Linked DNA regions of Struthio camelus. Each later gene encodes a partner of the first gene's protein in a complex. Links are inferred from orthologs where the notes say so. Each region holds a gene or a part of one and is shown on either strand. Other genes may lie near its edges. The genes, in order: NSMCE4A and NSMCE2.

Evidence for each region.
Region 2: NSMCE4A (region 1) and NSMCE2 share a complex: the UniProt entries of both Homo sapiens proteins name them as parts of the SMC5-SMC6 complex. The link is inferred for Struthio camelus from reciprocal best matches to the Homo sapiens genes NSMCE4A and NSMCE2.

What each region holds. Positions count from the first base shown.
Region 1 is NC_090948.1:5,963,589-5,979,456, forward strand, and holds the start of NSMCE4A (non-structural maintenance of chromosomes element 4 homolog A), read left to right. Parts: upstream 1-7,166; 5' UTR 7,167-7,553; coding exon 7,554-7,869; intron 7,870-9,278; coding exon 9,279-9,359; intron 9,360-9,945; coding exon 9,946-10,076; intron 10,077-11,868; coding exon 11,869-12,020; intron 12,021-13,743; coding exon 13,744-13,843; intron 13,844-15,847; coding exon 15,848-15,868. UniProt on the Homo sapiens protein: Component of the SMC5-SMC6 complex, a complex involved in DNA double-strand breaks by homologous recombination. The complex may promote sister chromatid homologous recombination by recruiting the SMC1-SMC3 cohesin complex to double-strand breaks.
Region 2 is NC_090943.1:160,973,523-160,989,225, reverse strand, and holds the start of NSMCE2 (E3 SUMO-protein ligase NSE2), read right to left. Parts: upstream 6,180-15,703; 5' UTR 6,036-6,179; intron 5,868-6,035; exon of another isoform or gene 5,731-5,867; intron 5,035-5,730; 5' UTR 4,859-5,034; coding exon 4,790-4,858; intron 2,923-4,789; coding exon 2,775-2,922; intron 1-2,774. Other genes in the region: WASHC5 (WASH complex subunit 5), read left to right, coding at 7,696-7,881, 10,099-10,244, 11,304-11,388, 11,703-11,803, 12,720-12,912, 14,698-14,850. UniProt on the Homo sapiens protein: E3 SUMO-protein ligase component of the SMC5-SMC6 complex, a complex involved in DNA double-strand break repair by homologous recombination. Is not be required for the stability of the complex.

The DNA.
Region 1 (15,868 bases):
CGAAGGCTCCTGCCTCCGTTCCCTTTGCCTCTGTTTAGTCGTCTTTTGCTCCTACAGTCAGGAAAGAGAGAAAGCAGCTCGCCTCTTCTCACTGTGGATGAAATGTATCTCTTAGCCCGCTTGTCCGAATGCAGTGGTTGAAGGAAGACAGTCCAACAAGAGGGTTTACTTTGCTTCAGTGAGGACTAGCCTTAACTATTTGATGTACAACTAGAGAAACGGCGACCCTTTTAGGAAAAAAAAGAAAAAAGCCACTTCAGTATAGAGCTGTCTTAACTATAAATCCCCAAAGCAGGTGTCACTGGAACAGGAAACCTACACCAAATCATAGAAATAATCTGTAAGTGGAGCGTGTTTTCAGTGACATGGTAGTTTTGACAAACTCTCCTTTGGAATAGCTTATTTCAGATATGAAAGACATTATTTCTTTTATAACAGGTTCTGAGTTACAGGCCTATGAACAGTATGATGAAAACATATCCAAACCAGCACAAGATGTGAGAAAATGATTGCTGCGGTAGGAAAAAAACTATCACAGAAGCACCTAGGCTTAAATTAACTGTTGTCATGTTGTTGGCAGTTGTGTAAAAGATGATAATTGCAAGAGACTGTTATAAATAAAAATGAAATCCTACAGATTGTCTGGGTATACAAAAATTATTAGCAAGTTAAAGTACAGTGTCCAAGTAAGTGCCACGTTGTTATGCAAAATCCTGTGGTCAGAGCTCTACAAAGCACTAATTCGCTCTTTTTTGCAAAAATCTGTCATTGCTCTGCATTTGCTTTTAATTCCTTTTTTCCTCCATTAGAAATGTATTGGATGGACCACCAAGGCAGCAGTTGTCTGGCTAGTCTCTGCACTCTGGTGCATCAGTGATGTATGGATACGCTTCCTGCTCCTTCCTGCAAAAATGTTTTTGTAGCTTCCTAAAATATATTGCTGTTTGATTACAGGGGAAAAGTTGCAGGTTTTGAGTATGTTGGTCTCTGGCAGCATGACTCCTGCATGTTGATTTAGCAGCTTTGTGTCAGCCTTCCAATCAATGAAACCTTCCAAATCATTTAAAAAAGAACTCCTGGTGCCAGTGAGGGTTTGATTCTGCCAGGGGCTTTTTCCCATTTCGGAGCTCCTGACACGCCACAAGACTAGGCCCCAGTTTTTTTTTCAGAGTTCTATTAATAATTGTTCTTTCGCCTTCCTTGGAAAATGCCTTCTTAGACTGGCACAATATATACTGTGATTTGATGGGCTGTAACCTAATCCACTGTGCTGAAAGTGTATCTAGAGCCAGATTTTTGACTCCCACAGGATTAACTGTAAATATGGAATGAAAAGCTTTTGCAAGAAACAAGTATATAAACTTACACCTCTATATTGCAAAAAAACGATTTTTGAAAGTTAGCCGCACTCGTTAAAATATATCCCCTCATCTGTGTTTGCTTGCAGAGCTGGCAGCTGAATGGCAAATATCTCAAACTTTTTATTTCTGATGTTTTCAATTAGTCTAGGCCCCACTTCAGCTTACTAGGATTATCTTATGTCAGCAAGAGCCACTCTTGGGATGGCTCTTGGTTGCAATTTTCTTAGGTAATGAGTTTCTTGCTTTATCTCCTTGCAGCATTTATTTTGGAGTATACAAGGGAAATGCAAAAAGAGTGTAACTTTAAAACCACATGTGACGTTCTGGGCAGTGACTAAACTGTCTCATTTCAAAATCTGTGTTCCCGTTAAGACTTAGGAACAGCTGCTAGCAGATTGGGGCTCTCTAAACCAGGAGACTGATCCTTCAGAACTGGACAGGTGATTCAATATTTTGCTAAATCTAACGGTGGCAGATCTGCAATTTATTGCTTGACGTGAACCAGCATGCTGGGCGGCTCCCAAGCTGTCTGAGATGCAGAGTCAACACCACAGGTAATTTCCTTGTTAGCACTGCAGAAAATAGAATTATTGCTCTGTGTTTGATGACAATGGAAATTGCCTGTTCTTGCTGAAATAGAGAATCCACTTAAGCTGCTCTGTAGTATAGGTTATAAAAAGTATGCAGCCCTAATGTGTACAGTCAGGTGAGGTCAAAAAAATATAACCCACACATAGTTGCGTTTGTTAAGCCTATTTTTATATCCTGACATCTGGACTTAGTAGGAGGAGAAAGTGCACATATGTTAAGTGCATATATATTAATTTCTTAATAATATCCCCCTATATTTCTGCTTTTTCTGAAGCTGTGTATTATGAGTTAGGTCACAAAAGACAGTGGCGTTATTTTGGAAGCTGAGGTCCAGGACGTAAGAGGTGATATTGCATATGTTTTATAAATTAATTGTAAGATAAATAATGTAATTGTTAAATTGAGCTAGTGGCAAAGGAGGGAGAATCTGCCGGTTGCATGATGCTGCTTCTGGTTTCCAGTTGTTAAACTGTATTTGAAAATCAGCTTACTATATACTCTGCTCATGTTTTCTTAAGAAAATAATTGCCAGTGGGATGCCATATGACTGTGAATGGAAGGGGAACAGTACTGTGAATTCTCATGAATAACGCACAATATGCTCTTGCCATAGCTGTTACTGATCACACAGTGGGTTGTCCCCCACAGCCTCTATCACGTGAGTCACTGTTCTTAGCCCTCGTTCTTCTGCTGTTTTGTGTCCTTCATCGTCTGTATCAGGAACCCACTGCCCACACTACTGCTACAGTGCGGGTCACAAATCATACATCTGATAAGACAGTTTATAGGCAACTGCAAGTGCTGAAAATGGAGCCAAAATAAGGGATCTGGTTTCTGCATGATTTAGGCACCTGCTTCTTCTCACTGTAATCAACAGGACTCAAGAACCTGCCTTTGTAGATCTAATGCAGCAGAAAATATGTGCCTAACTAAACGTTGGAAAATCTATGCTGGCACAATAGGTCTGGGTCACCCTCCAGTCATGAGACAATGCACTAAGGTTTGCCCTGGCTGACGCTTCCACCTCTGATTCTCTGTTCTCTTGCAAGAACGTGCAGGTGCTATACCTTTACAGTTCATGTTTGCCAGATTCAGTTTCTCCAGATGTCCCAAGAGGAGCTGATGCTTGGTTATTCTGTCTGAAACTGCCAGTCCATTCTCTACAATGGGAACATGGAATAGGAATTAGGAGTCCTGAAAATATCCACCTTCTATCTCACAAATACTTGCATAACCAAAGAACCATAGGTTATGTGCTATGATAGACGGTCCACATGGAGAACAGCAGTAGGCTCTTTCTTTCTCCCATTCCTACCACTCCCAAGTAACGTGTACAGCTTCAGTGAAAGAGATTTTTAGGGCAAAACTGAATACTGAATTCAGAATAAACTCCACTGATCCTAAGGGGGGTGGTCTTATTTCACATAATACAGGTTGCTGTAGGAATCTTACAGTAATTGTTGCAATTCTTAGCAGTACACAATATTCTTGTTGAAAGTGAATTTATATGCGGCCCATCACTTGTTTTACCATTAAGCTTTGTAGTGTTTAATTTTTCGCCAATGTGGGTTGCTACTTTAAGAACACTTTTTGCCACTTTATTGTACAGTATGCTTGAGACAAAGAGCAGTCTGTGGCAGATTTTGCTCTTGTGCCCAGTGAGTAAAAGGCACTGCTTGTCTAAGTACCACGAAAGGTCAAATATGACTTAATAAGCATAGACTTCAAGAAAGGAAGCATCATATTCAGAAACTGGATACCACAGGATTTTCTCGGGAGCTAATGAACCTTTCACCTGTAGAGCAATACTTTGCCTGCCACCCAGCTCAGCATTTTGTATTTTGCACTATACGACAAAGGCTTTGGAATAGGGAATATTTCTTACTATGTGTCTGTGTACTGCATTGTACAACAAACCTCAGTCTTCTTTGGATCCTCTCTTGAGACTTTCTGTGTTAAGGTCCAAAAGCGTATTACTCATAAACAATTTGCAACACAAATGCAACAGCACTCTATTAGTCACAGGAAGTACAAGAAACAAAAATTGTACAATAGCCCAAACCATAATTCAGACTTTTTTGTACTGCAAAATGAAGTATTTCAATCATATATTTTTGAAGGACGGTTCATGCATATTTTTGAACTTTGCAGTCTTCAGCAGAGGTACTGATTTGGGGAAGACAAGGTGGAGCCATACCACTGTAGATTGAAATAGAATCTGAGCTACGAAAAAGTCTTAGAATACATGGCAAAAGTTCCCAGTAGAACCCAACACACCTCTGGATTGCCCAACTACGTTATGAATGCATAAGAAAATGCTGAATTGCCTAACACGTGCTATCAAGATAAGAGGATTGTAAGTTGGCACTTTACCAGGATGGAAATCACTGCTTTTATATGTGTTCTTGAAAAAAAAATGGGGATTCATCAATATAAGAATATGTTTTCGTTGTTGCTTTTAATGAGCTGCCCTCTTAATAAAATTACTTTTATTTTCTTTTAAAGTTAAAGAATACTCAATCCCAATGCCTTTTCTGTAATATAAGTTGTATTTCATCCTGTTTCAGGACCATGAAAAATTCCCAAATCTCTTAAAATGCCAATTTTCTTTTTAGCCACAATGTCTTCTTTTTCTACTACTTTTAAGAACATACATCAGTACTGAAAGGAGAGTCAGTCAGAAGATGTAGTCTTACAGTGAGAATCCAGTGTAATATAGTTTGCTTCAGAACCAAATTAAAAAAAGGACTTAAATTTGAATAACAAAAAAGTTGCTTCTTTCTGTCTCTCCAGGTGCTTGACCAGACAACTTCTAGCATACTGAAGCCTTCAAGAAGTCACTGTAAAACAGACCATAAACAAAAGCCACACTAATGGAGAAAAAGGCAGGTTTTAAACAGGATTCTCCCCTGTACATCTTCTACAAGGACAGTTAATAACTTTCAAAACCTAATGACATAATTATGACAGCAGGTGCAGAAACAGATTTGAAAGGTAAAGTTATGTGCACGTGAACTACTATCACAGGTAGTACACACCAGATGTGTAAGCTGCATTTATCTAGGGTGTATGCCAAACACCCTCTGTCCAAACAGGCTGCAGCTGTTCTTCTGCACTCCCTCTCCTAGTTCACGGTTTACTGAGATTGTAAGAGTTTTTAGGCAAGCCTCTCCCTATGCTTGAACAATACCTAGTGCAGTGAAGCAGAGACCATTTGCATTACTGTAACATTACGAACTCTATGATTAAGGGGAGTTACATGCTGCAATTAGGAAAGCAGGGATTAAGCCTTTGGCACATATGGCTGTTCTTAATTTCTTCCAGATTATAGCAACTTGACGTTATCACATATTCATTTAATTCTCTTTGCGCTGTAGATTCATCAGAATCTTGTGCAAACTCTATACCCACAATTCAAAAAGACTGCTAACAACTTTTATCTAACTGGAGCAATTACATAAGCAAGTGTGGTTCAAGGAACTCTGAAGTAGGCTCTTCAGGACATCAGAAGAAATCAGCCAGCACACTCCCTGAACAACTGATACTTTTACAGCAGTTCTACTAGCTGGGGCAAAGTAAGGGCAATTCAGGATGTTATTTGGCCCGCTGCTTCAGGTTAGAAGCCAGATTCACCGCTACACTTGGCTGCTGTCACAGAGCACCCCCCAAAACTTGACTCTAACGATGCTGGGAGAAGAGCAGAGAGAGGAGAAACTCTCTATTAAAAATACTTTTTAGTCTGTATCATAAAAACCTCACCATTAAATGACATTTTTAATATAGTTGAATTTTCCAGACTTGTAATGTTTGACTGTGCGTAATTTAAACATTATGAAGACCCGTAAGTTAACAATATATATTTGCACCACTTAACTCTGCTTTAACGTTGTTGTCTTTTGTTTAAACAATGCCACCACATTAACTAATTTAGGAGTCTGTCGCACTTCCAAGTACACATTTGTTACTTTGTCAGAGCACAATCCCTATGTAGTGATTAATCTGCACATATTATATGGAAACATATGTATTGAATATGCTCAGTCAAGTATATACTTCATCTCTCCAACTTTCACCGCATCTGTTCCTCAGATGTTACAGAGAAGCTTAAAAGTGGTTGAAAGATTTGTTACTGTCATGTTTATCTTTAAAGAAATTTCCAGTCCTTAACAAAGGTGAAAGTTCTAAGTAATTTGTTTTATTTTTAATAGCAGATAAAAACAGACAACCTGGTTAACCCAAGATGTAAAGAGTTACTAATATTTAATGAAGGCAGTTTTATTTACAGAGCCTTTTTTCCTTTTTGGCAACTATAAAACATCTTGCAATGAAAACAGGAGTTGTCATTTTCCATCCTGTGATGTGCTGTGTATCGGTACATGCACTGCCCTCTCCTGGATGAAGCACTGGCTCTTTGTCGTGCCTTTCTGTGACAGTGGAGCCCCGATTGCTGTTACCTCGGTCCTAAGTAAGGTGTTCTCCTGGCTCACAGCAGGCACCTCCGTGACCAGGGGCTCTATCTTCCAAATAAAACGGACCGAGGGCGCAGAAGCTGTAGCGTACGATAAAGGAGGCCTCCCTGGCTAGGCTAGCTCTGCTCGGGTTTTCTCGGAGGTGAGTTTTACGTCAAGTTTATGTGTCAAACTCTAGTTTATAAAGCCTCTGTGGCCGCACAGGTAGATAGTAACCAGGGAGCTTCGGCTTGTACGTTCCCTCCACCCGCTCCGCGTGCGTGACAAAACGTCTCCTGCGCAAGGACTCGGCGTCTTCCTTTAAACAGAGCTGCTGTTTATGGTGGGAAAAACAAAAGTGGAGGCCTCCCTTCTGCGCAGACACCTATGAAGCTCCTGTTGCCGGGAAAGCGGTACTGCCTGCCGTGTGAAAGCCCACGCTGCCAGGCAGGCGTCTGGAAAATGGCTCACGCGTCAGGACGTTTCCGCGGGGCTCGCGTTCCCGCCTGCAGTTTGGGTTGGCGTGAGCAAGGGACAACTGGCAGCTGAGGAATACAGCTAGGAAGGCTGTATTCAGGGACAACTGCAGGCAAACTACCTGGGAGGGTCAACTACAGGTAGGCGCCTAGGGCAGGAAGAGGAGGCGACGCCCCCTGTCAGGCCGCTGTTGTGGCGCGGGGGCGGCACCGGCCCCGGGGCGCCGCCTCACGCGCCCGCCGGCAAATGGCGGCGGCGGCTGCGCGCGCGCGACCGCCCGCCCGCCCGCCCGCCCGCTCGGGACGGCTCAACCGGGGGCGGGCGCCCCGGCGCGTCGCAGCGCGGCAGGCAGTTGCCTGCGGGCTCGGCCTGACTCCCGGCTCCGCTCCGCTCCGCCCTGCGCGGGCGGCAGGATGCCCCGGCCGCGCTCGCCGCTACCCCGGTTACCACGCCGCCGCTAGGCGGATCGCGGCGGCCTCGGCCCGGCCCCGGCCCCGCCCCGCTGCGAGCGGCTCCGCGCTTTGGCCCTCTCGAGCCGCCGTGGGGCCGGGTAACGGTGTCGCGCAGCGCCGTTGGCGCCTTCTGCGGCGGCCGGGGCTGGGCGGGCCGCGTCCCGTCCCGTCCGGTCACCCCCTTCCCCGCGGCGGCCGGTGAGGGCCCGGGGCGCCGCGCAGCCATGTCTGAGGCGGGCGGGAGCGGTGACTTCTCCTCCCCGCGGAGCTCGGGCTCGGACTGCAGCCGCCTCTCGCTGCCGTCCACCTCTCGCAACGGCGCGGTGTCCGAGCACAAGCAGCAGCGGCTCTCGGGCGGCCTCGGCCCCCCGCGCCCGCCGGCCTCCGAGGAGGAGGAGGAGGAGGAGGAGGAAGAGGAGCCGGAGGTGGTGTGCGAGAGGCCCAGGCGGCCGCAGGGCGCCGAGGCCACCGGCGGCGGCGATGAGCGCAGCAGGAGGATGATCCGCAACCAGTACCGGGAGCTCATCTACAGCGTGCAGCGTAAGCCCGGGCCGCGGGGCCCTCGGGGGGCGCCCGCCGCCGCCGCCGCCCTGGGCGGGCACGGCTTGCCGCCGGCGGGCATGTCTCTTCTCCCGGAAAAAAACGAGGCTTGCCAGCGGGGGCAAGGGCCAGCGTTTCGGCGCCGCGCTGGGACCGTGGCTTGATCTTGGGAAGTAGCTTTTCCCGGAGCCTGAAGTTCTTTGCTGAGATTCTGGCCTCGTGTTTAGCTGGGGATTTGTCCGCCTGAAAGCGGGGGGTTGCGGAAGGGTAGAGAGCTTACAGGGGGGTTTACCTGCACGTACCGTGCATTTGAGTGCCTTGATGCAAGGAGGGCACGTTCCTTGAGCTAGAGAAGTGCCGCAAGCTCTTAAGGTTGCGTTCGTTGTGCTTGAGAACGAGCCTTAGCTTGGAACTGCAGGTCCCAGGATCTGCCGATGCCAAAACCTTATCCTTAGGCCTTTTGGAAAGTGCCATGAACTTTTTAACAGTTTTCTAAACAAACATATATGTATTGTTTTACTTCTTCCATCCATATTTAGAGTGTGCTGTTTTTCTCATTGCTGTATTTTTGAGGCATGACAATGCTTGTTTGAGTAAGCACTACTAACTGCAGCAGCTCCTGATGTTGGTTGTCTTCTGCGTGCTCGCTAAACTTACTCGATTTTGTTTGTTTTCGTTTTGTTTCGTTTTTAAGAGATTGCAACACAGTTTGTGGATGATCCAGTTTCCACTTCTGTAATCTAACACTTTCCAAGAAATGCAATAGTGTCATGTCTGTGCGTTGAGTAATGGTGTACATTCTTAAAACACTTAGGTGGGGTGAGTAGCTGTTTGGAATCGGACATCTGAAAGTCTGTAAATCAAACATGCACAGGTGCATATAGTATCTGTTTGACAGGATGATTGTTAAAAATCATCAAGCGTTCTTTTTTTTCCTGATAATCCACAGTAGTTTAAATAGGTGAGACAAATGACATTCAGTAAACTACAGGACCTGATAAGTGCTTTGACACAGGTACAAACAATAATTGGAATTATAAGGAATCTGACATTACAAAGTTTGGAGCTTTTTAGTAAAATGTATTTTGGAGTGATGACGTTGGATGTGCATAATTCATACAACTACAGTAGATGATAAGGTTCCACGTTAATTCCAGCCATGTGAATCTTGTTCCATTGATGTAAATGCAAAGTTGCCACTGAGCAGGTGAGTGAGCATTGATAAGAATCAGGCCTATGCAATCTCACAGTGAAAGTATTGTAAATAGTCTTGTACGTTTTGAGTAGGCTGGGGTGTGAACCAGACAGTTTAGCTTTAAGTTGCAAGTATGTGTTTATTGGTGTCTTTATGTAATTTGGAGTTTCATTTGTAATTTTCCTTTCTCTCTTCTCCCCTCCCCCCAATCCAGAAAATCGTGAGGATATGCTGAATTCAAAAAGCAACAAACTGACAGAAGCTTTGGAAGAAGCCAATAAGCTGTTCAGTGGAGGTAAAAACAAATTCTGTAACCCTTGTTGGAGATGATTGCTTGACAGTTGGCCAAGTATGAAGAGATGATGCCTTAACTTAAAAAAACAAACCAAAAATGGTATGAGATTTAATTTAGATCCAAGTACTTTATCAAAAACATGAAATAACTTGAGATAAATAACTTTAGCTGAAGAGGATTTGCTTGAATAAGGTGTTACCAGAATATAAATATCATTACTTTAGTGTTATTTGTACTTGGAAACGTTTTTTGCTTTATCTTTATAGAGCAATATACATAAATAGTACACAAAGTGGGTTCACTTCTCTTTACTCAGAGGAGAAAAACATGTTAATGAAAAATCCATTTTCTTCTTCCAAATGATGTGTTAGACCTCCCAGCTTGCCTTTGGCTATGTCGTCATCTTCTTTTCTCCTTTTTGTGGAAATAGCAAGTGTTATGCTATTTGTTGTGTTAGAGGTCACTACAGTAACCTCTACAGTTACAAAGCTGTAAACCTAGGGTATTCTGTATGCTAAACTTTACTATTATATTTTTGACAATTAGGTATTATTAACATACACTTTTTTTTCTTCTTCTGTAACAGTTTCCTGTGCGCGAGAGGCTGCACTGGATGCCCAATTTCTTGTCTTAGCATCAAATCTAGGAAAGGAGAAAGCCAATGAGTTGCACTCTGAAATGACAGCGTTTGATTCACCAGCATTTGCAGAAGACCTAGTAAGTTCCAGACTCGGAATTTGCCAAGAACTTTACTAGAGGTTTGCCCTTTTTGTTGTAGATTCATAAAAGTAAATCTGTAGATGGTCAGGCAGAACCTGACTGATAGAACTTAACATACTTCCTATTACTTTCTTTGATTAAGTTTCTAGTTAATATTGTTGTTGTAAACTATGTATTTAGCATTTCCAATTTACAGAGGGGAAAACGTAACTTAAGAATGTAGTCCGCACATATAGAATAACTGTACTTTTGCTGCTCCATCACAGTTTAGTTGGTTCATGCTCTTAACCAAAGCAGAGAGATGTTTGTGCCTTTTTGTTTTTTTGGTGTTTTTTAAGATATACAGTGTTTGGAGTTTCATGGCAGCAAAGTAGTTTCTTTATCTTGTTCACTGCTTTGTGTGTTTTTGGATGGGGTTTTCAAGGTCCTAGGTGACTGATATGAAATGGGACTTTGGATTGCTTGGATACTTTTAGCCATCCTATGCTTGTCTCTTACACTGTGACTGGTTGGAAGAGTCAGTTCAGAATAGCATTGCAACAGACATTTTTCTTTCAAGACACTTTTTGTGTTATGTTATGGTAGATATTTAAAGAGTCTGAGTCAAGATTCTACGATATAAGAAAATCAAGTTTCATTTTTTTATTAAAGTTTTCCTGAGGAGGGGTGGATTGATGGGTGCAGGGTTGGGCCAAAGAAGTTGTTTTATGGTATCTGAAAAGCTAGGCTCCCTGGAAGTGTGTGGTGTTCAGAAATTGTGAGATACTTTCGCTTTATAGTGCAATTTAAGTAATGCTTTCCTATTTCATAGATCACTGAAATTCTGTTGGAGTACAGACAGTTTTACTTGTGTAGCTCTCTTTTTCTTTGCTGCTGATCCTGCGTAGTGATTATTGCAAACATGCAAAAAGCTCTGCGCAAGTGGAAAGCTCTCACATTGGTTCCTTACTGAAGACAGAGTCTGTGACCCAGTGCAGCCAGTGAAAGAGTGCAGCTTGTAATTGTTATTAGGTTAGCATTTGGGCTTAAGCTTATGGTTAGTGTTATTGCAATCACTGGGGTGATGGCAGTTACCAAATCTTGTTCTCGAGTTCACTACAGGAGACTGCATAAGAAGCACTATCCTTTAATTTTCTTCCTCTTTCTGATAATTCAGAGGATGGAGAATCCATCCCTTTACAGTTACTTAGGAGTGATGATATTCTAAATAATTAAGAACAAAAAAAGCTGCCTGTATTCTTTAGTGTTTATGTTATCGTCTATGAAGTAAGAAAGATTTATTGAGGAAAGAAAAACCTTTTTATTGGGCCCAGTGAAATCTTTGGAAAGATAAGACTGACTAATATCTGAAAGCATGTTTAAGATCTCTTGAAATGAGATTTAACCCTAACCTCCATTTTCCTGAAGTCCATGCATTCTCTGACACTGAAGTTTGTGTTCACTGGTGACTTGCTCTTTTGATAACAGCTGCAAGTCGTTCACTTAAAAGAATTACTCATTGCTAAATACTAATATTGAATTCTGTCACCTAATTTAGTTTAGATAAAAATGTATCCTAATAGGAAGTTTAATATCAGATGCAGCGTGGCTGCTGTCTGCAATGCTGTGCAAGTCTATATGTGTGTTTTCCTGTTTTCACTGCAACTTTGGGAAAATTGACGTTCTTTTGTTATGCAATGATATTAAACATTAATCTAGCAGAACAAACAGCATAACAGTATTTCACCATTAATGCATCTACTGATCTTTCTTTTAAGTGAATTTCCTTTTCAATTTCTTTCTCTTGTAGCTAACATTCATGGGTCTAAATCGCATAGAAGTAGAAGAAAAGGATAGTGATAATGAGGGCATTTCTGGTGGCTATTTACCTAGTAATGCCTGGCATAAACTGGGAGCAGAAACAGAGAAGTACTTCAGAAGAGCACCTTCTTTTCACTACATGTAAGTTTATTTGAGGAAAATTGTATATACTGTAGCTAATGGCCTTAATTGATGTTAATTCTAAAAAATAATTTTGTACTGATTTTTAGTGCCCTGGGCTTGAGTAAAGTTTAGTTTCAGTTTGCAGGGTGCCAATGGGGACTTCTGCATGGCATCTGTTGTGACAGGGAACTTCTCGTCTCCTAAGTATCTCCTACTATATTTCTCTTTGAGTCTGACTTGGCTTGGATACAAAATAATACTTTTTTAAATATTTTAGGGATAGCAAGGTATTCGTGAGTTATGTCTTTCAGACCTAAACCAGTAGACTTTAATCACCCTCTTTCTTTCCAAAGCTGACTGATTGCTTTCCCTCCCCGTACAAGCTGCAGCTAAAAGTGTTAGAAGATCATTCATTTCTTTACTAGGGCTTTATTAGACCCTGAAAGACTAAACTCATGTATCTTTTACCTGATGATTGTATTATGAGGCTTTTTTCAAAGGGAGATGAACAGTCTTTTTCATGCATCTGTGTTAATGGGCTGTCTCTTAGTAGCTTCTTTTCAGCTCTATCTTTGGAAGAAATCTCCTGATTACTGGCCAGTGTCCTTGTATAGAATCAGTATCCCCTCTCTTTTTGTGAGGAGGCCTCCTGTTTAAATCTCAGCCTGCAATAGCGCTATCTAGTACCATCAAGTTTTGGTGATAGAGCTGATAAAAACATTTCAAATTCATACTTGCACTTTCAAGGTAAAAGCCCTAAATGATAAATATAATACTGTCCTAAGAAAATTATAAAAACTGCAGAAGGGACTTTTTTTTTTTAATTTCTCCTTCTGTGTAGTTGAATTTTGAGATCTTAAGTACTGTTGGACTTCTTGTGATGGAAGATGTGAATATTAGCAGATATTAGAAGAGTGTTTATTTTAAATTACAGTCCTTGTAGGAAGAGAACTACTTAATTCTGACTCTGTCTATTATTTGAGGTTCAAATTCTTTTTTCTGTGGTCAGTCTGGTGTTTTTTGAAATGGAGCAGTGGCAAATTACCCAATATAGGGTATGCTGCTAAAATTCTGGATACCTGCTGAGCTAACTTGAATTGACGCTCGATTCACACTCTTATTTAGGCATTTGACTTGGCAGCCAAAGTTAGTGCCTAAGTTGCTGATGCAATCATCAGAGAGAGAAAGGCACTTCACAAGGGCTAGCGGATACATTCTCATTATTTAATGAGGAACTCTGGATCTCTTTTGAATGTACTGAATGTTCTATTTATTGACTATATAGTATCATTTTTTTAAAGACACTTCTTATTGCAAATGTGAACTTACAGATGCTAAACAGTGGATGAAAAAGAGATGAATGTTATATGGAGCCAGTTTGCATACAGAGAAATCTGCAATAAAAACAAAGATCTTGGAGGATATGAATGTCATGCTTTGTTTCAAAAGTTACTCTAGTTTTAAGAAAAGTAGACTTACTAAATTTTCAGTAAAAAGGAACAGCTGGACTAATTACATTAGTTTAAAATATCCTATTGATAGCTTTATTGTGAAGCTATCAACAGGTATTGGGAAAAACTACTGGGGATGGTTGTTTGCAGTAGTCCCTAAATGTGATCAGAGGCTTTGTTCAGATTTTAGTCATTATTTTGCACTTTTATCAGGAAGTAAACTGCTGAGTATTGATTTCTTAACAAACACTGTTTAAAAAAAATGTATATATTCTTTTTATTTGGGTTAGGTTGGGATCCTTCAAGTCTGATCCTCCAGTACCAAGGCAACGGATTGAGAGGCAGAAAAAGACTACAGGAAGAGAAGAAAAAAGGGCAATGCCTGCTCAGGTTTGTGAAGCACTATTTTTATTAATGATTTATTACAGAAGAGTTATTGCAGCTGAGTTTTAAATCATTCTGTTACTCATGCCATTTCTAGTTTTGTGGTTCTGTACTGAAGGATTCAGATTTAAATCTTAGGCCTCTTGGTTTGTTTTGTGCAGACTGTGGTATTTCATTAATTGAATAGAATGAAATAGGATTGACAGACTGATTTATTTTTATTTATTTATTTTTTTTACTAGCTTCTAATACTTTTTTCTGACACTGATTCACTACCAGGACTTGTCTTTCAAACAGAGTTGTATAAATATAAAATGTATGTCCACAATGGAGGACTGGCAGACCTTCTGAAATAGTAAAAAGGTCTGGGGAGCTTGTGCGGCTTTACAGTTTATCAAGAGGTCATACCTACAGAACTGTAACAAAATGTAGTGGAGAATCTTGCTTTTACACATGTTTTTATCAATTTTAGGAAAGGAAAATGATATGAAGAGATCTTTCATTCTCTCATGAAGAATGAAAAATTGCCAGCTTACTGAAATCTTACAACTCTGTGGTAGTATTTTTATAGAATTTCTTTTGTTTATCAGCTAAGATGTTGATGCTCCTGAAAGAGGAAAGAAGTTGAATTGATAAATGATGAAGAAGAAAATGACAAATAGTATTCTCTGTGTGCCTGTACTTCAGTAGTTTACCATGTTCTAGCATGAAATGTCTGGAACGGTAATCATCCTCAGAAGAGATCAAGAGAAGTTCACAATAGTTTCTTTGCTCACTGCTTTGAAAGGAAGAACAGGAAAAAAAAAAAACTTAAGTTAGTGTGTTCTCAAGTGTTTTTTCAAATAAGTCTCTATAACAGTCTGTGGTGTTCATATCAGAATTTGGTTCATTAACAGTAACAAACTAATTAGGTCACATAAGTAGTATTTTCCTTACCTTCTGTTTCCCTGTTCTTTCCGTCTGTCTTCCTGTGTCAAAATGGCAAATGTCTTAGAACTTAAATTCAGAGGGACTTTTTTGAGAGTTTGAAAAAGTAAACCAAGTTGTTATTGGGTACATATGGCTGATACTGCCAGTTCAGAGAGCGGTAAAACATTGTGATGGCTTTTAAATATAATTTGTTTCATAATAATCTGAATAGTGACAGAAATTGTGACATAGTGAATTGTGAATAGTGACAGAAATAGTGGCAGTCAGATTTGTACTGGGAAGGAGAGGAGCAGGAGGATTGGGAGAGCTGCTACCAAAAGTATGTGATTGCTCTTCATGTTCACGTAGGTAAACACTCAACAGTGTATGTTTTAATATGTGTTAGATACATGGTTGTGTGGAAAGGTTTCTGTTGCTTGCATTATTGCAAGGTGGTCAGAGGAAAAGTATTGGTTAACAGAAACAACAAATAGTTTATTGAAAAGCATACCCCAGTGCATTTGTTACTCTGCAGATTATAGTACTTGAAAAATAATTTGGTGTACCCTTCTTTACAGATAATGAACAAATCTGTAAAATTGGAGTAATATACCCTTTAAGATTTCCAACTTGACCCCATGACCTTTCTTCCTTGGGTAAACTTAGCTACCTTCTCTGAATACATGTTAAAGATCTTAAGAAACAAGCTACTTCGGTTTCTTCAATAAATTCACAGATTAAGTACCACCAGGGTTGTCCTAGTTCCTCCGAGTTAGGGGAAAGTAAGGGTAGACCTGTAAACCGACTCAAAACATATAAACAGTGACTCTTTCAGTTTTTGCTAGTTGTCTTATTTTTACGTTAAGTGTCTGTAACTGTGCTTACGTGGCGTAGGGAGAAAATTGTATCATTTGCATACTGTGTTGGTGAAGGGCCTTTTAGTACTTACCACGGTGAGGTTTTTTGTAATGCAGATCTTACATTTCTGCTGACGTATAAACTTTCTGGAAGAATATTTTTCAAAATTTAGAAGATGTTTGTCTTACAACAGTAGGTATGTGCATTGGAAATACAATTCTTAATAAGCAACTTTTTTTCCAGTTAAAAAAGATGGAGGAGTCT
Region 2 (15,703 bases), on another chromosome or scaffold:
CTTAGAGGTTTGAAGTTAGAAAACCATACACAGGTTCTTTCATGAATGACTGCTTACTCTTAAAAAAGTATGGCATTTGCTGCCTAGACTTCTATAGAAAGCAGCTTGAATACAACATCAGAGCAAACCCACTACTATACCTAAGAAAGTCAGGAACAGTAATTCAGTTAGACCTTCATAAAAAGAAAAAAAAGTCTACTTTAGTATCAGGTAGGTTTATGGGAGGTACCTCCACGCTACTGCCTTAACCAGTAGCCAGCCCAGCAATACTACTTGGTACGATTTAATAAATATGCTTAACATTGAAAGTTTTCAGGATTGAGCTCTTAGAGGAGAGCACTTAAGAGAAGAAACCAATACCACTTATTATGCTAACTTTATCTGCCCTTCCAGCTATTTACCTCCAGATGTAAATGCAACTTCTTTCACGTACTTCCTGAGAAAATTTTATCTCAGTATTATTCCCAAAAAGCAGAGTTGTCAAATATATGAACCCCAGACCTAAGAAAGTCCAAAGGAAACAAATACCTTCCCAGAAAGAGTGCTTGGTGAAGAAAGTTATTACTTTATAATCACAATATAATTCTTTGCTACTACAAAGCCTGGCAACAAAACCTGTCAGCAGCCAGATGATCTTTTGAAAGAAAGAAGAAAAAACTGCAAATGGGACAGCAACAAGAACGCAGCAGCATATAACCTAAGGCTGGCTCAAAATTGAATGAATACTTTGCATTGGAACAGGAAGGCAAAGTAGAATAGATGGGTAATAATTCTACAGATACAGAAACTGCCACATATGAGTTGGAGGTAAGAATTAAACAGTCAAGTCAGGCAGATTCAACAATCCTGATTCTAAAACACTATAAAAAACAAAAATATAGTGTTTAGCAAAAATAGATCTTGCCACAGAAACCCTGTATCTTTCCCGATGGCATTTATATGGAACAAAACAACTTGAATTCTAAGTTGAACATATGAAGATGACATTTAAGCGGTCAGTGGAGTGAAAAACCAAACCTTAAAATGAAAGGTAAGGGAGCTTTGCTCATTTGGCTAGAAAAACAAAAAACAAACAAAAGAAACCCCCAAAAGTGATAGAATTGTTATATGTACACATGTATTTACATCAGCAAGGAAAAAAACAGAGGTGGTGTGAAAGAGAACTACTTTAAATAAAGCGTCAACAAGGTAATACCAGACCAAATTGAGAGGAACTGTAACGTCTTTACGCAACAAATAATAGCCTGGAATACCTTTTCTGTAGATCAAGGGAACACTATGTAAAAGATGTGGTGCTTCATAGTTTACAGTCATGATTCCACAAGGAAGATTCTCATGCCAAAATAAAATCAGTTCTATGAAATAACTTAGCCATTAGCACTGACCATAGAAATTTCAAGAGTGATCTCCTCTCTTGATAGGACACTAAATATGGCCCATTTGGTTACTGAAAAGTCAAAATAATTTGGAGGTTATAATTAAAATGAATATGCCAGAAGTTGGTAAGTGAGGAAGATAACAAAATTATCTAGAAGCATATGGCACACACCTTCAGCCGCAAACCTTCATAGAGGAGTTTGAGTTGCCTTCCGCCTTTCAAAATGTGAATGGCAACAGGGACTTGATTTGACTTCTGCTGAAAGGTGAAATTAATCACAGCTTTTAGCTTTTGTTGCCAATAACTACCTTCTGTGGCTCATTCTGAGGTCTTGGGATTACCGGAATTCAGTACAGTCAGCAAATTTCCATGTATCACTTACGGCAAAGTAGGACAGATGGTAACTTCAAATGCAGAGAGGAAACAGAACTGGTTATACCAGTTTTACTGCAAAGGAAATTCCCAGCTGACTGTTTAGATAAGCTTTCCGTCTCCTCTACCACTTTTGAAAAGGGGCATCAATTACCTCTGACAGTAATATGGATAAAAAGGTCGGAGAGAGAGAGTATACAAACAGAAAATTTCATTCTGATTTTATATAGAGTTTGGCTTAGTTGAGAGCAAGACAGCAATTATGTTGTTTTAGAGGACTCTCAGTCTCCACTCATAATTAAAACTATCATTTAGGGCTTTGGAGCTTGGAAGGTTTAATTTTTTCCTAGAGAAAACTTTACAGTAGATCCAAGAGTTGTAGCAATAGGAGGCCAAATACTTGTCTTTGAAAAGCAATTCTGCAATGCACCTGTTGCTGTAAAACAGCAATGACAAGACTGTCAGAAGTGATTACAGATTTAGAGTACTTCTGTTTGCAAGTGTCCAAACTGAAGCACCCTAAATCAGCCTAATTTTCAGCAGGAAAAGAGACACTATTCAGAAAAATTACATCTCTTGCACATGTCTCAATTTTTGTACTCAAAATCAATAGTATTATTTTAACGTATCTTGCCCTAAACATTAAATAAAACACACACAAAGTAGCAGTGTTAGAACGAAAAGTCATTTTATTCACCCGCTTAAAAGGCTTTGTCCATCCGTTTCAGCACTGTTAAAGTTTCTACAAGGCTGTAAGATAACAAACACTGGAATGCAATTAGTCTTTTAAAAGTGTTACAAAAGCCGGGACAATGTTACTTGGTGTTTATACTTTCACTGAATTTATCACTTAAGACAGTGAAGTGATTGGAATGGTAACACTCTGAACTATCCAGAAGAGCTGCTGTTTCTATGATGAAGTAGATATTGACTGTAACTAAGTCAAAATACGTAGGCCTAGGACCCATCTGTAAAGTTCAGGAAGCAATATAAGCAAGATAATATACTCAAAGGAATTACTTACTGAGACTTTCCACAAGGTCAAGGGCAACACGAGTAGCAATATCCATTCCAGTGTTAATGTAAGACTGGCAGTTTTTCAAAGATGAAAGAGAAGAATCCACACAGTTGAATGAGATTGTTGCACCCCCTGGCATCTTGAAACCATTAGTCTAGAAATAACAGATATAACATTCTGAATGCAGTTTACACACAGCGCATTTGGAAGAGAAAACAGAAGTACAGATAGCTAAACACAGAGCTGTAACAGGGCTCCTCAAACATCAGAGAACAGGGATGAAATCTCAGCTCCCAAAATGTCAGAGAAAGTTCAGTCAGTGGCACGAGTAGAAATGTGATTCACTAGAGGATTTCAACCCCCCCTCCTATTCAACACTAATCAAAACTACACCACAAACAGCAGCTTGCAGTTTTTCATCTTCTCATTCCTATTGCTATAGCACAGTGAGACCGAAATACTCAAGGATTATGTTAGCTTGAAAGTTTCTGCTCTATTTCAGCTCCAAAGAAAGAGTACCCAAAAACTTGTCTGTTTTCTAGATATATTTGCAATTAGGCTAGTAAGAATATGACTTCTTCCATCAAATTGAGCCTCACCCAATTACAAGCCTGTTTCAACAAACAGCCAGCCCTCAGAAAAAGAAGAAAAAAAAAATCAAATAAATGGTAACTGTTCTAAGAATGTATTTAGCAGAAAGTTACCTAATACTATTTCTTAAGTAAAAGCCTACCTTACAAATGTTAAGAATTTCCATCAAAGATGTCACAAATTTAGTTTATATTACCAATATTCTATTGGAACAGAACACTAAATCACACAAGACTCATGTCTGTGCTCTTTACCACCTTTACTTCCTTTCCACTACAGACCAACATCCTTGCTAGGACTAACTCCTTTTCCTCTGTCATTAACATGACCTTCAAGTAGCATTGCTTACACTGTCCCTATAACTTGAATCAATCATACTTTCCACATCAGTCGGTGGTCTCTTCTCAGAAGTTCCATCTTCTGCTCTTCCTTTTTTGTTCTCTGCTATAATTTGCCTAGACAACATGTAGCTAGTAAAAGACACATGTTGAATGCTGAATTTTATACTTCAAGTTGCAGGAAGTTAGAAAAATTCTGGTCAGCTTTAGGCAAACAATTGATTATAAAAAACAAAAGTCTTAAATAGATAGAAATACTGCATTAGGCCTTGTAAACAATAACTGGTATTATCAGGGACTATATTGAGACTATACTGGGGAGGGGAGAAATGAAATCCAAAACCAAAATTGGGGTACATCCCAAGTTAGATGCATCTAGTATGCAGAGTAACAAGGAGATGAGTCATTCTATGGATTACTCCCTTTCACAGGCTATAATCCAACAGAAATCAGGATAGTATCTAAATAGAAAGCACAAAACTTTATATCCGAGGCTCTGTCTCACATTTACTACTTTACCTGGGATTCCAGAACTATGTCTTACACTCATCCTAATCTGCACAGCACTGCAATCTTCCACATGAATGTCAGGCAGATTACGAGACTGGAATTTCTCCTGCCACCTTCTTTCCTCTCTTACAGTTTTTTTTTCCCTATTTTTTTCTTCTTTCTCTTTAAAAAATGTGCTTGGCCACTCAAGACTATCTTTTATGACACTGTTCTGAGGACACGAGCTTACAACAGCCTTTTAGCAACACAGCTGTTCAAGTTCATGACAACTTGAACTTCTAAAATGTATATGAGCAGCTTTCCTCTCTCTCTCTCTCTCTCTCTCTCCCCGCTGCTAAAGGTGCATCTTGTCATAAAGGAGGCTGCAATCTTCAATAGCTCCAGCTCATCTCTTCTCCTAATCTCCCCACCAAAATACAGCAATTGCTATCTAAAATACCATTTAAGAGACTGGTGATCTGATAACAGAAGACAAGGAAAAAGTTTCTTAGAGAACTTCTTGAAAGTAATGGAAAGGGATGCTCTTAAAGCTTAATTTAATAACAAATGCTTTAGGCTGTTACACTAAATTTTTTAACCTACTTTTTTAAAGCAGCTGTTTGCCATTTCACCAAGAGTGTTTATACTGAACCTCGGTAATGCAAACTTCATACACTGTTAAGTCACGTAAATGCATATTAGCGCTTTTATCCTTCTGGGCCCATTCAGTGTATCAAAATTAACAGAGAGAACCTAATTCACTTCTTGAACTTGGTAAATCTCATTCATTGAGCAAGTCTGCTGTTCTTTTGGAAATTTCAAACACACACACTGTGAAAGACAGGAATCTGAAAAAAAAATAACAATGAAAAGTTAAAAAGGCTTCTTCCTTCTTCTGAAACATGGGGGAACACCGAGTATACAGGAACTGAAGTTACGTACAACACTAAATCATACCATCACATTGGTAGCTTCATCACAATTTGTGTTTTGGCAGATAATTTAAGTACCCATAGACAGACTCTTTTTTTTTAAACAAAAGCTTAAACTTGATAGAAATAGTTGATGACCCCAAGCACAGACTTCCTTTTCAATTTTTTTAAAGTTAATTCTTCAAGTGTAACTTACAGCTGGAAGCTGTTCATGCTGCCTTTAGAGGAAAGGGCAACTTCCTCAGTGGAACAGGGTTTTGAGCAGTTTCTTTAAGGCACTCTCTTTTGCCATGAAGGTCTTCACTGGGTGCATCAATGAAGCACTTAAGCTTGCAACCCCCACCCTTCATCTTCTGGGAAATACAATGAGCAAAACCAAGATTCATAAAGGAGAGCCAAGTGAGACTGGCTGGTCAGTTTTTTCTTTCAACAATAAAATAGAAGACCGCAAAGCAGAAGCCCTAAAAGGTTAAAGTTTCAATTTTGCCACCAATTTTTAAGATTCGAGCAAACGACCTAACTTCCCTTTGCTCTATTCTTCCAAACTTTGAAAAGGAGACAAAACGCAAGATCTACAGCTGATCAGGGCTCATTAATAGTATCGATCTCTACCTCCTACAACGGTCACTGTGCCACGGAGACGCTACTTCGCCGCCGCAGAGCTGGGGACAAGAGCCCTGGGGGCAGGGAGCCCCGCTCTGCCAGCCGCCCGCCTCGCAGCCCCAACACCCGCCGAGCCGCCCCGTGCCAGCCGCGCACGGGCCGGGGCAGCGGCCCCCGGGCCCACCCCGCCGGGCAGGAGGCTGCCCGGAGAACAGGGCCGCGCAGGCCCTCCCTCGCACTCCGCGCCCTGCCGGAGGAGGAGGAGGAAGGGGGGGGCGGCCGAAGCGGGCCCCTCCGCAGCCGCAGCCGCTCACCTAGTCCCAGCCGCCGCGGCCCTCAAGGGGCTCCTCTCAGAGGCGGCCCCCGCGCCGACCCTCTACGGCGGCAGCCGCGCTCGGCCGCGGGCAGGCGGGACAGGCCGCCGGCGGAACCGCCTCATCAGCCGGCGCCTCGGCACATGACGGCGCGCTGTCATGTGATGGGAGGGTTGGGCGCCGCCGCCGCCGCCGCCGCCTCCTCGCCGCTGCCTGCGTCTCACCTGCCGCGGCCGCTCCGCCGAGGGCTGCGCCTCGCCCGCCGTCCCCGCCCGCTCGCCCGTTGCCGGCGGAGCGGAGCAGCCTCCTCCGTCCGCCCTTCGCCGCCGCTCACCGCGTTAGCCGCGGGGACGGTAAGCGCCGCCGAGCGGGGGCGGCATCCCGGGGAGGTCGCGGCTGGCGCCGGAGCGGGGAGGCGAGAGCTTAGCCCGCGGCGGGGCTGAGCGGGGCCGGGCGGCCGCTGGTCTCGCGGCGCGGCCGTTCCTAGGGCGCGGGCGGCCGTTGGTCTCGCGGCGCGGCCGTTGCTCCAGGGCGGGGGTGGGGGGGGGGGGGAGGTTCAGACATTGAGGGGGGCCGTTGGCGTCTCGGAGGAGCCTGTCGAAAAGGGAGTTAAAACGGCGGCCTGTCCTCCTCGGTGAGGCTCGCCCGCGCTGGAAATGGCTTTTGTGCAACTTCAGGAGCTGTCTGCAGGCTCTCCCATATTTTTAACGTCCCATTCGGTCAAGAAATCACGCTGTGGCCTGATGAATCAGGTTACTGGAGGGGGATGAGATGTAAATTAAAGCCCGGTCCTGTTCACTTGGGTCTGGGAGCTGCGCGGGACTTTGCAGAGCAGAGCTTGTTGTGCTAGCGATGCTTTCCTCCATGCGTAGCAGGAAGACGAGGCTCCTGGTGTGCATTTTGAGACAGACTGGGATCGGAAAATGCCTCGTCAACTTAAATGTAACTCAGTGGTTTAGAAGGTTTTTGATAAAAAAAAAAAAAGTGAAGTCAGCTCATAACCTCCCATAAATGTTTCAGAATTAAAAAGCAGCTTATTTTTAGCCATGCTGCATTCCAGATCTTTCAGCAAAAAATGCCCATAAATAAAAATGTGGCCAGGAAATGCAACCACAGTACAAAAGCTCTCCCTTAAGCAATAAATAAAGCAGTGGAGCTATGTTCTTTCCATTTGCTATTGGATTCTCCCTTGTTCCAACATGCGTCTTGTACCGTACTAGTTTGTGCTTTCCTTGCTGCCGTCTGCTGCATGGCCTCAATTGCTTCAGTTTTTGTGATTGTTTCATTCTTTAATAGTTACCTTAAAATTTTCTAGTACAAAAGATCACACTATTATTTCTTGCCTGATCACACAGGTGACTGAGCCAAAACTGCATATATGTTGAAGGTAAATTCAGTCTGTTGTTTTCATTTGGACAAAACATGGAGCGTTTAGATTTCATAAAGCGTAAGATTTAATCGTGTGCTTAAAAAACCCTATAGAATAAATTATCAGAAGTATAACTATGAAACACTCAAAATGTGTATGTTTTTGTTTTTACAGGTACTATTAATGGAACAGCAACTTTTCTCATTAGACGTTCTTCTTCAAATAACCTGAAGACTAACATTCGGGAGCAGACTGCAGGACTGTTGCTACGCGGTCACATTCAGCTCCACAATGGTTGATTTTTTAGCTGAAAATAATCTTTGTGGTCAGGCCATTCTTAGGATTGTCTCCTGTGGAAATGCCATCATTGCAGAACTTCTGAGACTTTCTGAATTTATTCCTGGTGTTTTCAGGCTCAAGGACAAGGCTGATCAACAGAAGTATGGGGATATCATATTCGATTTCAGTTATTTTAAGGTAAATCCTTTTCTTTTATTGTGAAACTTCTCTTCAAAGTATCGTTGTCCGGGTGAGCCTAAGGGTGTTTCACTAAGGGCGAAAGCCTAAGGGTGTTAATGTCCTCACAAGTGTGGAAACAGTTACTGTTATGTTAGTTGCTAACGTTCATCGGAATTGACTAAGATAATTTCCTGTTTACTCAGTATTTACCAAAAATGCACCAAACTAAGATACTAAATGGGATGTGCTCGCATACTAGCACTCCTCTTCTGGGCTGTCTTGTGTTTATACGCTTCTGATGGTACTCAGCCTGACCTTATTTATTTCACTGAGCAGAAGCAGACTAGTGAAGATTGTGTGCTTAGCTCCCTAAGCAGAATAGAAGTACAACCACTACCTGCACTGAGCTTTAGGGCAGGAAATGGGACAGCTTTAAATACATACATACAAAAGCAGTCCCTGATACAGCTTTGAAAATGTTTGATGAGTCATCTGGCCTTGAGTTTCAAAGAAGACTGATTATATGACATTTGAGTATTGGATTTGGGGGGGTTTTAATTACTGTTTCCTGAGTAAACTTAAAATTGCATTTTCACCAGCAAGCTCTGAGCCTAAGCACTTGGTTGTTTTTCTGTGGCACAGTATGCCTGTCTTCCTTTGGTTATCTGTAGCCTTTTCTTTGCAGCCATACAAACGGCTTTATGCTTTCCTGTTTGACAGTACTGTGATTGTTCATTCATGGTGCTTGTCCATGAGCACTGAATCAACAGATAAATTAAAGAGTAGCGTCCGTGAAAAGGTCTCATTTTTCTTACAGAACTAAGATTCTTGCAGTACTTTTTTCCCCTCTGTCATTCTCTAGCATGATTTGCAAGGAACTCTACAGATGATGTAATTTGACTTTCTCCATTTAGATTGTACAATAAAAGAGACGTTACTGTTTCAGCAACATTTAAGGGGGCTGGAGTTTTTTTGTGGATCTTTTTTGCATTGCAAATTCTGAGTACTTTGGGCTCGGAAAATCCTGAGCACAGGTGATCTCCCAATTACCTTTAGATGTAGATTTTTTTACAAGCCTTTTTTATACAAATACCTCTTTGCTCTTACATTGTCAAGTTGTAACTGGCCAGAAATACATTTATTCTGGAAGATTCCTGAATGTTTAAGAAGCAAGATACTGCTGTTGCTTTTCAGCCTAATTGCAACAAAATCAATAAAAGACATGCTTGTAAACCAGGCTTTCATGAATTTACAGATATTAACACCATGAGCACTCCATTCCTGCAATCATGATGCTTAAAATCAGGTGATGAGATTTGAGATTTTGAAAATCAGTCCATTTACTTTGTGCATTTAAGCTTCATAGTCAGTTTGGGGCCTGCTTTTATGCTTTGTTTCACGTGGCCATTTCATAGAAAAAAAGAAATAGAAGAGCATTTTTAAAACCACTAAGAAGTTGTCAGCCAGGTGTTAGACTTGACATTTAATTTTTAAGCCTATTTTAAGTGATTTTTATGGAGTTCCTGTTCACAAAATCCTTTTAAGTCGTGATCTCATGCCATGTAAGTGTTCTGTGGAATGATGTTTAATAACAGTTTCAGTTAACTGTTAGTGATAGGACTGAAAGGTGGTGAGTTGACAGCAGCAAATGGTTAAAACAGTTTGAACCATTTCTTTCAGAAAGTCAGGCTCGTCTTCCTCTCCCCTTGTTCCCACACAGTTGTTAATTACACGGTTTCTGTGCCAGTTTTGGGGACTAGCACAGACCTAGGTCTAGAATTTGTCAAAACTCTCACGTAGGTTTAATACTTGCAAGGAGTTTAAATGTATGAGAAGGTACAAAGCTGACAACTTATCTGTGAGGCCTTCATGTTCTGGATTCTGTTTGAGAAATCAAACAGATCAAATGTGTAAAGGAAAAAGTTCCAGAAAGGAGATAGCTGCCATTAAAAAGAGTCCGTGGTAAAGCACATGGTGGTTTCAGATGCGTCAGAATTTTACCCAAAGTGTTATCGTATTGATAATCATAGATTGTAGCAAAATGTAGAATTCATCATTATGGGATCACCGTTTAATCATGAAGTAGCTTGGAAAACTGCAGGTGCCTTATTTTAGTAATAACAGTTAATTCTGTCATTACATACATGCTAGTGGTCATGTATATTCTTTGTCCTACTGAAGACTGTCACAGACACAATCAAATATTGTCTCTTAAATATGAATTTTCTTTCTTAGGGGCCTGAGGCGTGTGAAGGCAAGCTGGAAGCCAAGCCTGAGTTACTGGATTTAGATGAAGAATTTCGTGAAAACAACATTGAAATTTTGACAAGATTTTATCTAGCTTTTCAGAGTGTTCATAAATACATTGTAGATTTAAACAGGTATAGTTTTTTAATGATATTTAGAGTTTCTTAAAGACTACAGTACTGTTTAATCTTAATGATTGGAAACTTTTTCCTTGGAGACTCAGTGCTTGCCCTTGAATCGTGTTCGTATGCACTGGGAAACCTGGCTTGCTGGACTGGGCACTAACTTTTACTCTTGTTGTTGCATACCAGCTTAATCTACGACCTGAAAACATTTAACATCTCTACTTTATTTCCATAAACGTAAGCTAGAGCTAATTCTTCTTTATCTGAGAGATTGTCCTGAAGATTTATGAATGAAAAGAAACTCCGTATTATTGAACAGAATCAGATAGTATTTTTTCTTTAACTTTCATTGGTATTGTTTTCCTAAATTTAATTTTTCAGTGGAGTTACCATAGTCTCAAGTTTGTTACTCTTGTCAAAACGGTAGGAAAGGTTTATGAAAAAACCTTAAGGAAGAGGTGCAAGAGAGTGTGAAGTCTAAGAATTGCTTTTGTTGTTGATTTTAGGTAAAAAGCTTGAGCTCATTGTGGTAATAAGCAGTTTACTAGAAAACCCTGTAATAAGAAGAAATCATCTGTTAATCAAGATGAAATATTTTATTTATAGCTCTGCCTTTCAAACTGCAATTAAGATAAATTTAAGGTATTTCCCGTAGCTGTTGTTGGAGATAATCTGAGAATATGATAGTTTTACTAAATTTTAAGGAGGAAAAAAAAGCTTTTCCTTTCCAGGACTACTTTGTTCTCAGGCTGTGTCCTGCCATGCGAAGGTTAAGAGATTGATTTGTTAGCTGTTAAGTTACAGAGTTCCTTCGGTATCTTTCCCATACAGCATTAGCAAATTGAAGGAGGATTTGCCAGCTGGTTGACCCTAGCTACGAGTTCCAGCCTCTCATTTCATATTAGAGTATCTGTTCTTTGTTGTGTGTAAAACCTGTGTGTGCTGCTTGCGCTGGACGAGTGATTGACGTGTCTGCTGACTTTGCGTGAAAATTGGCCAGTTGATTTCTGGGGACGCATGCTTTAAGAGCAAAATAGTCAATGACCAATTTTTTGGTATGATTCCTAGGTATTTAGATGACCTCAATGAAGGAATTTACATTCAGCAAACATTAGAAACTGTCCTCCTCAATGAAGATGGAAAACAGCTTCTGGTAAGTACTCAAGAGTTTTGTAATAGTAGAAAATGAACCAACGAGTTTAATTCCAGATATATTTTGGCGTCTATTTTGTTTACATCTAGTCTCAAGAATGGACAAAGGTTTAAACTTACCACATACATTGAAATGCTATGGCTCAATCTGAGGCAGTCAAAGCCCCAAAGTCTACAGCCCTGCCATTTTTTCATACTATATTGACTATATACATAGTTTGCATTGTGTTAGTTTGTCACCACTTGTTTGTCTTCAGATGTTGCTACAAAACTGCATTAATTTGATTTCTTTCTGATTGTTTTTTTCCTTAACAGTGTGAAGCACTCTATTTATATGGAGTCATGCTATTGGTCATTGACCAGAAGATTGAAGGAGAGGTCAGAGAAAGAATGTTGGTTTCCTACTACAGATACAGGTAATGTGGATTGGTATTCAGAAGAACTCAAAAGCTGAAAGAGTGTAACATGCAGTATGTTCAGTTAACTCATTGAATTAAGATAAACAGAAATATTGGTACCGTTTTGACCGTTTGGTCCATACGGATAGACCCTTATAAATCTGCATCATTGTCTGAATGTCAGTAGAGCTCCTTGCATTAGCTGCTTTTGCACATCTGGCTGCAAAACTTGGGCCACAGATTTCTCATGCTGTCACAACAGAGATTTGAAAGCCACTGACAAATAAACTTTCGCATGAAGCTACAAGTATCTGCTTTGAAAGCATCAGATATTCCCAAATGTTGGAGCAAATCTCTGAAAAGTCCCGAGCATCTAGACAGTCAAACCTCTTGTAGTCAGAGAGCTTGATTAGTCAAACTGATAACGAGATTTCCAGGGCAGGCTGTCAGCACTGCTTTATCACAGCTAGAATCGCCGAGAATATCGGTGCAAACTCTTTCACAAATAATGCAACTAAAAAAGGGAGCACCCTGTACGTGTTTTGGCTGTGCTTATGGCTGTCAAGTGTGTAATGACAAAGGATTCCTTAACTCTGAAATACAGGAATGGAGCAAGAAGGGGAATTCAGAAAAGGTGGGGCATGGACAAATGAACCTCTTCTGAATGCAACTGTAGTCGTTTCTGTCCCTGAACAACGTTTTCTTGGATTTGTTTGTTTGTGTTTTGTACGCTTATCCGGGATTCCAGTATGGGCACTTGTCAGTGTCCTTCTGTAATATGGTGAAAATTATGTTCAGGAAGTAAGCATACAAAAGTCTCCCAAACCTTACTATCTGATTACTTTCTTGGAGACAAAGGCAGGGTTAGGAGGAAAAGGAGAGGAGGAAATAGTCAGGTCGTACAGCTTAATTTTTTTTTCCTTTTTGAAAACAGCGCAGCCCGATCCTCTGCTGATTCCAATTTAGATGATATTTGTAAACTGCTTCGAAGCACTGGGTACTCGAGCCAGCCTGGAGCTAAAAGGCCTCCAAACTACCCTGAGAGTTACTTCAGCAGGGTACCCATAAGTGAAACGTTCATCAGCATGGTTATTGGCCGCTTACGATCAGATGACATTTATAACCAGGTAAGTTAGCGTGAGACAGAAGAGGAATCTAAAATTGAGTATCAAATGGTTTCTTGGGTAAATTACTCAACTGTGAAGCCTAGAAAAAAATAAATGATTGGCGACTTTTATTAACTCTCATCAATTCCTTCAAAGATTCTCATTGTTCTAGTTACTGAAAAGAGATTGATCATCCCTTAAGAGGCAATGTGACTAAAAAGAAGCACTAATATTACTATTCTTATCTATGACAATTGGATGAATAAAGAATAAAAATTGAAAGAAAGTATGTTCAGAGATTACTCTTTGAACTCTATAGTCTCTTCTATATGACCTCTTTGGAAATGAGCTTCAACAAAGCATTTACTTTTGAGCAGGGTTCTTTCTTTAGGGTGGCCCAAACGATCTTATTTCTATAATTAATGGCACACCTCTAGTGAAGCCTGGATAGCTGAAAACATTTACAGACGCTAAAAAAACAGCATCTCAAGATCAGTGAATCACGTAAGAAATAAACAAATGCAAGAGCATTAATTTAAAAGGACCCTATCGAAAACACTTTCAAACTATAGACAGACATGTTAACTTATACGAGGAAAAGTGCTTCTGTAGACACTGTACCATGTTTATGGTAATAATTTTTTAAGCTGTGCAAAAAGTTCTGCAAACAAAAAATGAAAACTTTTTTGGCAAGTTGTGAAGAAGCTAATTTTATGACATAATGTATGGTACTGATAAGGAATAGCGAAGTGTTAGAGTGCTCTTTTAAAGTACTTCTTAATCTACAAATCTTACTCAAGTCTTTCAACACTTTTAGTCAAAATTACCTGTTTTCTTTATTAAAATAAGCTTGTGTGCCTTCAGATTAAGATAGTACAACCTGTGATCTCTGTTTTGTACTGCTTACAATTGATAATTAAAAACGTCAATCAAAGCTTCTATACGAAGCACAATTATAGTTAATATACTTTTCCCAATTGTAGCAGAAAAAGTTAGATCGAAGTAGAAATCTTCAGCTAAACACAGATTAAATGCAGCTTATTTTACTGAAGTATCTTATGTCTGTAAGGTGTTATTTCCTTTGATACTTGCAGCTTATTCTTGATGACAGTAGGCAGCAGCCTCCTATCTTTTTTTTTTTTTTTTATTATTATTAGTCTGAACAATTCACTTAATAAAGTAACCAGAAAAATTTACAGGAAAACAGAGTGTTACTAAACAAAAGTGGAGAACAGCTTTCCTACTGACAGATCATTATGTCTCGTTGAATATGATTTTGATGCCAACTTTTGTGTTATATGAAGGTCCCTGACTATGTTATCCGATGTACGTTTTTAAAAATGAAATTTCCCCTAATAATTTTAATCTTATTGACCTTGCTGGTGCCTGTGATTTGTGATTAACTAAATGATCTGTATCCTATTTGCCTTTTACTTGGATTATGTTAGTTAGTCCTCATTTCTGTTTGAGATGAGCTACAATATACCCAGTCCTTCAGAAATATCTATTTGTCCTTTCAGCAGGAGCAGTCCTTTCAGTCTATCTGAAGCTCTTTGATTCAACCTTCCTTTGACTCATTTACCGCATAATCATATTAGCCTATTAAATTTAGCAGATGGCTACAGTCAAGTTTTATATTCTGTAGATAAATGTGGTAAATGTGTTGCATAGGTAAGCTGGACACACTTATATGTGACAAATAAGATAGCCTTCTAGTATCCATGTATTGTACTTTTTAATGTGCCCCATAATATTTGCAATGGATTGTTGCATTATTTTATGTCTTGTTTTGTTCCTTTTTCCTAGGTTTCTGCATATCCATTACCAGAACACCGCAGCACTGCCCTGGCTACTCAGGCTGCTATGCTCTATGTGATACTGTATTTTGACCCTTCCATTCTTCACACTCAGCAAGCAAAAATGAGAGAGATAGTGGATAAATACTTTCCAGATAATTGGGTAAGTGTTAATTCTATTTTTAAACTGCACCCTGGATTTAATGCTATAGAAACAATTTATCTTGTTTTCGACAAAGCTTGCTGTAGTGTTCTAAAGGTAGAATAGATTGTCTTCTGGGGAAATTACACTTTGTTCGGAGTGAAGTAAACTGAGTCAAAGCTCCTGGATCAGCATGGAGAACTACCCTTTGCAAATATCGATTTTCCTTTTAAATGCTTAAATCAACTGTATTCTGATACCATCCTGATGAAGTGAACCATAGGAAAACGTAGGTTGGAAGCTATGTGTGGATGTGTTCAGCCTTCTGTTCAAAGCAGGGCCAATTTTAAAGTTCAGTCAGGTTGCTTAGGGCCTTGTCCAGTCAAGCTTTGAAAATATGTGAGTTTTGAAAATACCCAAAATGGAGATTCTACAGCTTCTTTGGGCACTTGTGCCTGTGCTTAATCACTCTCGTGATGATTTTTTTTTTAACCTTCTATCCAGCCAGAATTTCACTCGTTGCAGCTTGTGATCGTTGTCCCTTGTCCTTTTGCTGTGCACCTCTGAGAAGAGTTTGGCTCTGCTTTTCCCTAACTGCCCTTTAGGTAGTGGAAGACTGCAGTTAGATCCCTTTAGTCTTCTTTGCCTAAACAAAGGCAGCTCTGTCAGACTCTCTTAATGCAGTATGTCTCCTAACTGTCTTGGTGGCCTTCTGTTTGCTTCATTCCAGTTTGTCCGCATCTTGTACTGAGGAACCCAAATTTGGACACAGTACTCTTAAAAGGACCTCATGAGGGCTGACTAGATGGGAATAATCACTTCCCTCGATCTGCTGGCCGCAGTCTTGCTAACACAGCCTAGTGCGTGATTAGCC